Macaca fascicularis: one gene and its partner. The protein of the gene in region 1 interacts with the protein of each later gene in a pairwise test. Links are inferred from orthologs where the notes say so. Each region holds a gene or a part of one and is shown in the gene's direction. Other genes may lie near its edges.

Region 1 (3,743 bases):
CTCAAAAAAAATAAGTTTCTGGCCCTGTAAGAATGACTGACTGACTTAATGAACGAATGGACCAGGAACTAGTCTGAGTATGAGCCCCACCTTCACTCTGGAAGCCTGACAGCAAAGACGGGGGTCCAGGCCACGCGGCCTCTGCCTTCCCATATTCTCTTTTCTCGCGGAAGGTAAACTCATCAACTCGCTTGTATGTAAGTTTGTAGTATTCTTTTTTTTTGTAGTCTCGCTCTGTCGCCCAGGCTGGAGTGCAGTGGCCAGATCTCAGCTCACTGCAAGCTCCGCCTCCCGGGTTTACGCCATTCTCCTGCCTCAGCCTCCCGAGTAGCTGGGACTACAGGCGCCCGCCACCTCGCCCGGCTAGTTTTTTGTATTTTTTAGTAGAGACGGGGTTTCACCGGGTTAGCCAGGATGGTCTCGATCTCCTGACCTCGTGATCCGCCCGTCTCGGCCTCCCAAAGTGCTGGGATTACAGGCTTGAACCACCGCGCCCGGCCAAGTTTGTAGTATTCTAACGTAGGCGCTTCCAAGGCCTCATTCATTCCCAGGAAGTCACTGAATATACTTGTGCCAGCGCCTCCCCGATCCAGCCCTGCAGGGAAGGATCCTGTCCAAGGTCTCTCTGCGATTTCTGAAGAATTCGGTCTTCCGGGAGCCTGTCTCTCGGCCTTTCTAAAACCGAGGGTTTTAGTTCCCATGGGCGCAGCCGGAGTCCCGGGAGGCCACCCTGAGCCATACGGACCTCAGCCGCCCGAACCAGGACAGGACCCCAGGGCGCGCGCGACCGCTGGACCCGGGAGCTGCACCTCCCACACCCGGAGCCCCGGGCGGTGCCCGGAGTGGGGCGGGGCCTGGGCGGGGATGGGGAGGGGCTTGGCTGGCGCGGCCCAGGCATTGGCTCCGCGGGCCGGGGCGGGGCTGCGGGGTCCGCGGGGGGCTCTGTAAGTTCACCGCCCGTCGGGTTCCGCAGCCGCGCTGTCCAGCTCCTGAGACTTTGCTGTCCGCCAGTCCGCCGTCTGCTTGCCTCACGGTGAGTTCAGGCTTGGATTTTCGCAACTCCGCGGCCCCCCCGCCCCCGAGAGGCCCATCTCTGTGGCGCCCCGCCCCAGCTCGCGCCCTGGCCCTGCCTCTCACCTCGCTCAGGTCCTTTCGAGGGCGCCTAGGGCTCCATGGGTTTCCCGCCTGCATGTGGGTGCCCGCAGCCTCGCCCGTGCCCGCCACGGTCCGTGGGGCGCCGCGCATCCCGACCCCGAATTCCCCGTTCTGCCCTCCATTCTGTACCCGGGCCCCCGCCCCCCTCCCGAGACCCAGGGGTGCCCCGCCGCCCAGCGTCCCCACCGGGGCTGGGGGCCATATTTTTAGCCGATGGTGAGGTGTCCTCCTATCTTTAGCTGCGGCCGCGAGTGTCCTGAAACGGATCCGTGCTGGGCTGGGCTGCGCCCGGGTAGGAACGGGGAGGGGTCGGCGCCGGAACCCGAGCCGGAGCTAAGGAGCCGGACCCGTGGGAGGAGCGGGGGCCCGCACGCCCGAGCTCTGGCCCTGCGCCAAGCGGACACTAGGACATCGCCCAGGCCGGAAAGCACGGGGGCGGTTCCTCCCAGAGCTTAGAGACTAGGGCAGGGTCCCCAATCGCCTCCTTTTTCTCCGATTGTGGGACCAGAAACCCCGAAGCAAAAAGATCTCGCAGGCAATCCCCGTCTGGTACTTGAACGCGCAGCTCCTTGGGGAGCGCCTGCCTGGAGCCCGGGGGGAGGGGCGTTGGAGACCCCGGTGCGCTCTCGGAATCCTCCGGGACACGGGGCGCTCAAGGGAGCACGCGCGCCACCTGGCGGCCGCGGAGCCGAGCGCCTCTCCAGAGGCACGGGGACCCCGGAGACCCCGCGGCCGGCTAGAGGGACTCTGCATCCGCGAGGTCTAGGAGGGCGGGAGGAGGTGGATGCCTGGGGCCAGCAGCCGTTCGTTTTTTATATTGTTCAAAGCACTGGCCCCGGAGAACCGAAGTGTTTGAGGAAGGAAGGTCTTGTAGATATTTGCTGAATGAATGATAGAACCTACAGTAACCCGCTGAACCCCGCTGTTGTACACTGGTGCTCTCATTTGCAATATTGCAGTGGGATCTCCAGTAGCCCTCTAGTGGTGGCTTCATTGTCAGCCCATTTTATAGATGGGAAAGGTGAGACCCAGAGAGGAGAGGCGTCTTCCTGAAGGTTACAGAGGAAGTCCCAGGTGGAGCCGGATTTAAGGACAGTCTCCTGATTTGGGGGGGAGGGGGGTGTGAGGTGGCCTAATATTCCTCATGATTGGAGGATCCCTGCCTGCCGGAAGTCATTTTCTCGTTGGGAGGTCCAGGGCTCCTGTCCAGGGCAATCACAGAGAGCTAGGATGCTCCTATCTGCTCCCCTACTGCTGCAGGGAGCTCCCCTCCCAGCCCGCATAGCCCTGTCCTGATGGAGAGCTCATTCTCATATCTCTAGACACATGAAAGTTGGGCAGATGGGGGCAGCCAAAGGTCAGAATGTAGATGGAGGAGGTCTGGGGACCCACTGTTCCCAGCCTAGCTGTTTCTCTCCCGCTCCCCAACCATATTATGGAGGTAGGCGTGGCCCACTGCATGGAAGCCACACGGACCAGGCTGGGTACCCACTCTTCCACTTCCTAACTGGATGACCTCGCCAATGTTACTTAACATCTCTGAGGTTCAGCTTTGACTTCTGTAAAGGGCGGTAATGACCCCACCATGCTGTGGCTAGAAGTATTAAAATGGGAAACTGTGCGTGACAGGCTGGATCCTAGGGTCTTGCGGTTGCCAAATCTGAATTCTTCCGGTGTGAGGGTTGTAATTCCCAGCTCTCCCCTGGGTCGCTGATGCTGGCCTCACCCTTAGTTCTCCCCACATCTGGAATTGGGTGTGTACATCTGGCTGTGAGTGAGACAGCTGTCAGGGACGCCCAATTTGTTGTGGAAACACTCAGGCTGTCTTGGCACTGCTGTGTGATGGGGTTGGGGGTGTGGGGAGGACCTGGCCCAGGCTCTGGGCACATCCCACCAGTCAGCCCCACCAGGACTTCTCTCCTAATGAGCGACAAGTTGCATGTTTGTCAGCATGGCCCCCAGGCCTGGCATGGTTGATGAATGCATGACGGGATTCCAAGACCTCGGGGTGCTCATGCGTCCCCACCCTCCCCCCAGCTCCTTGCAAGCTGAGCTGGATTTCTACCATGGGAAAGTTATTCGTTTGTTTCCTGTTAAGCTCCAGGTGCTCTGGGAGGGGCAAGATGTCCGGCCTCTGTGGCTCAGTACGACTGACCCGGGTGTCCGGTCCTGGGGTGGGGTTTCCTGAGCAAGGGCCTCAGCTGGTGGTGGGGGTGCAGTTGGACTCTGCTTCTCCTGCATCCTCCTTCCTCCTTCCTGCTCCCTCCTCCCAACCCCCTCACCCCCACCCTCACCCTGTCCAGAATGAAAACTGAGGCAAAGAACTGGCAAGAGCCACCTTTGGTGAGCCCTGGCTGGGGCTGGGGGTGGGGTGTACAGGAGAGTGGGCACATCTGGCTTGAATTCCCACCCTGCCCTTACTCACTGGGTGACCTTGGACAAGTTTCTCTCTTTGCCTTTTATGCTGAGTCTACATCTGGGCTTGTGTGTACCGGACCAATGAGGTCCCACATGCATCCCCCACCCTCAAGCAGAGGGACTGCTGGCTTCATTTCTTTTTTCTGTTAAATCAGTATGACACCCCTTCA
Region 2 (3,743 bases), on another chromosome or scaffold:
CCAAACAAACATGAAGCCCCCATGTAGCTGAAGGAGGGCTGCTGATTCCAAGACATAGAGATAATTTATTCAAGGATAGTCCCTATCCTCCAGGAGTTCACAATTCAGCACTAGACACCCTGTGGGACCCAGCCTGACAAGTGCAACGAGTGAGATGCCAGAATTGAGTCCTGCGGTCGAACAGAGGGACTACAGGGCAATGCACTGGGCGTGGGAGGTCGAGATGGCTCTGGGAAAGGATCATTCATTTATTCCACAAACACTTATCAATCACCATAGCACACATAGCACATAGGAAGCGCTCAATATCTGTTATTAAATGCCAGCCACTGTGCTAGGTGCCAGGATGCAACAGCGGACAATAAAATTGCAGGGGCACGTGCCCTCGTGGGGCTTACCGTGTAGCGAAGGATGACAGGCAGTGGACGGAATTATGTAAAATTGTGCTAGATGCAGAGCAGGAAAATAACAGGCGGCTGAAATTCTAGTAAGGATGTGAGCCCCTTCGGCTGAGGGGAGCCGTGGGCGGGTTCTGAGCAGGAGTGGCCGTGAGGGAGACGGACCGTAGGGGGCGGGAAGACTGCAGGCAAGAGCTGGTAATTTTAAGATGCAAATAACATTTTTTTCTGCCTGACTGGAAGAGGAGCGTTTGGTCGCTCGGGATTCTCCCGGGGCAGGGGGCTGCATTTTTAGTGTAAAATCGGTTGCCCAGCAGTGCAGGGCATGTTGTGGTGAACTGCAGCCCTAGTTCCCAGGTTTTTCATGCTTGGCACATCGAGGCTCCTCGGCCCCCAGGACCAGCAGACTCCCCATGCGCGGCTCGGATTCGGGCCGGAGCAGGCGGGCAAGGGTGCTGGAGCGGGTGCACAGCAACGCTCACCCCTGGGTTTCGGGGTCTGCAACGCCGGGCGGGCAATAGGAGGCGGAGTTTGCGCTGCGGACCTAGGCGTTGGCGAGGGCCACGCCCCCAGCCGCAGACCCTGCCTCCAGGCCCCTTTGATTGGATCAAGACCGCGGAAGGGCCGGGCGTCCCCGGGCGGCCCGAGGGTCGGGCAGGGGAGGGTGCGCTGATTGGCCCGGCGGGGATTAAGTCATCGCTAGCAGGTTCGAGCGGCCCAGACGCCGGCGGGGCGGCCGAGGCTGCTGTGAGAGGGCGCTCGAGGCTGCCGAGAGCTAGCTAGCGAAGGAGGCGGGGAGGCGGCGTCTGCACTCGCTGGCCCGCTCGCTCGCTTCCAGGCGCCGCTGCGGGTCGGCGCTGCGTTTCCTGCTCGCGAACCACTCCGTTGCCCGCGCCGGGAGCAGCAGCCCCTCGGCCGGCTCCGGGCTCGGTTCGGGAGTCTTGCGTGCCGGCGGTCACCGCGCGGGGAGCGAGCTAGCGCCACACCTGTGGAGCCGGCGGCCGTCGGAGGAGCCGGTCGGGGTCCTGCCGCGTGCGTGCTCTGGGGAGCGGGCGGCCCGGGTCCCGGGGGAGGCGCGCCCCCGCGGCTGGGCGCCGCGGGCACTATGGGGCTCCCAGCTCTCGAGTTCAGCGACTGCTGCCTCGATAGCCCGCACTTCCGAGAGACGCTCAAGTCGCACGAAGCAGAGCTGGACAAGACCAACAAATTCATCAAGGAGCTCATCAAGGACGGGAAGTCACTCATAACAGCGCTCAAGAGTGAGTGTCCCGAGCCCCGCGGGGACGCGGCCCCGGGGCGGGAGGGACTGGGAGGTGGCGCTCAGCCCGGGTTGCCCGCGCATCCGCCGGGTTTCTGCTCCCGGTACACTGGGGGACCGGTGTCGACGCCTCCGAGGCAGGAAGGATACGTAAAGCGGGCGAACCCGCAACCATCAGATGAAGAGAGAGACCCGTCGCTCCGCCTTTTTGCGTTCGGGGATGGTCGGGAGGTGACCGAGCGCGGGTGGTGCTCTGGGGCACCGCGGGTGGGCGTGCGCGGCACGCAGGTGTCCCCAGGAGTGGGGCCAGAGTGCCCAGCGCGCCGCAGCCTGCGGGCAGATCCCATCGTGTCCACAGCTCCAGCTCCCTTAGGGGCAGAGTTGCTCAGCCTTGGGTGCCCAACCGTGAGAATGGAGCGTGCTCTGCCGAGGGGGCGCTGCCTCCCCTTGGGAAAAGGCGGGTTGTGACTGCTTCGCTCCCTGTACGCAGCTCCAGCCCAGTCAGGCCGCCGGGTTCCCTGGGTGGAATGCTTGGTTTTAGCTTGCGACTCCTTGGAGTATTGGCAGCCAGTAATCTCTAAATCTAGAATCAGTACGTGCGCAGGTTCTGATTCTTGTGTTTAGCAGAAGGTGATAGGGGTGGGAGTAGAGAATCAGAGTGTTCCTTTACTCTAAACTGTGGGCGAGGGTTTAAAAATAGAATGTGCATATCCCAACTCTCTCCCTCTCCTGCTCCCAAGCTCTCCCTTTTACCTCTCCCATTATCCTTGAAAACGTAAAGGTCTGAGAAGGAATGTCCATAGTCCTCAGAAAGAAGTTTAAACGTATTTCAAACATTCTTGGACCTTTTGTAAAACCATTTTTGCGTTTTTTCCTTTTGGTACAAGGGGAGAGATGCAATTTTGCATTCTGCTTCACTTTTGCAGAGCCAAAGAGTTTCTTTTTCTGGCCAAATAAGCGTGCTCTAGGGATGAGTGCTTTGGATTGTGAGAACGTTTTTGGTGCCTTTTCAGTCTCCCCATTTAAAAATAACTCAGTTCATCTTTTAGTTTTAAGAATCAGGAACCACATGAAGGCAGATAGTGGGATTGTCTCTGACTCTCTTACTTTATCTTTTTCTGTGATGGATTTGTTAGTAGGTGATACCTTTCAGCTAAGAAAGGTTGCCTTAGCAGAGTAGAGTCCTAGCTATGAGAATTGTTCCCAAGCCTCTTTAAAGGGCACTTACAAAAGTCAGGTGCCTGAGATGTCGTTTTGTCAGCTTGTTGCTTCTAAAAATGAAGAGAGAGACAATGGAATGCCAGGGCAGCTCAGAGTGCCTATCTTTTGGGATGAAATGAACACAGGACTGTGATGTGATGAGGCTTCTTAGAGGCGGATTCTCAGGCTGTGCCTTACCTGAAACATATGAACAGACTCTTCCTTTGTCAATGATCAAGGCCATTCTTGGTTTAGGGGACGTGGGTCCCTGGTTTGGAGTAAGTTGGGGGCCCACTCACAGGTTGGGCCCAGGAATTTTGATTGAACCTCAGGCTGGCTTTATTGGGTTCTCTGCTTCACTCAGCAAACTTTTGGTGTGCTTGTGGTGTATTGGGTACTGCAGTGGGCACTGCAGTGGGCACTGCACTGGGCACTAAGGGTGTAGCAGTGAATATTTTGCTACCCCTGTGCTTACAGAGGTGTACTTCATTCCAGGCACTCTTCACCTATAATTATCTCATGTGCTTAGATTCATTTTGCAAATGAGAAAACAGAGACTGGGGAAAACACTTCCTCTGAGTCACACAGCTCTAGCAGCAGGACTAGAGCTTTTGAATCCACCTGGTTTGAGCCAGTGATGGAGTCCCTGCCAATGCAGAGCTCTTATTTCTGCCCCATCTCACTTGCCCGGAATGGAACCTTTTGCACCAAGCCCTAGGATTTGGACTTGTGTTTTCTATTTTGGCATTGAATCTGAGGAGGGTGCCTTTGGGTGACTGGCAGTTTTCCTACTACTATTTTTTTGAGGGCAAGAATTCTTTGGTAGGAAGGAACATTGCAGTGATAGAGTTGAAGGGTTATTTAAGCTGTCTAATGGAATGGATCAG

Evidence for each region.
Region 2: the proteins of CDC42EP2 (region 1) and ARHGAP26 interact in binary tests that used the Homo sapiens proteins (3 or more experiments, as listed by UniProt). The two-hybrid records come from large-scale screens. The link is inferred for Macaca fascicularis from reciprocal best matches to the Homo sapiens genes CDC42EP2 and ARHGAP26.

Annotation. Positions count from the first base shown.
Region 1 is NC_088388.1:9,054,558-9,058,300, reverse strand, and holds the start of CDC42EP2 (cdc42 effector protein 2), read left to right. Parts: upstream 1-975; 5' UTR 976-1,033; intron 1,034-3,743. UniProt on the Homo sapiens protein: Probably involved in the organization of the actin cytoskeleton. May act downstream of CDC42 to induce actin filament assembly leading to cell shape changes. Induces pseudopodia formation in fibroblasts in a CDC42-dependent manner.
Region 2 is NC_088380.1:149,276,849-149,280,591, forward strand, and holds the start of ARHGAP26 (rho GTPase-activating protein 26), read left to right. Parts: upstream 1-1,117; 5' UTR 1,118-1,503; coding exon 1,504-1,657; intron 1,658-3,743. UniProt on the Homo sapiens protein: GTPase-activating protein for RHOA and CDC42. Facilitates mitochondrial quality control by promoting Parkin-mediated recruitment of autophagosomes to damaged mitochondria.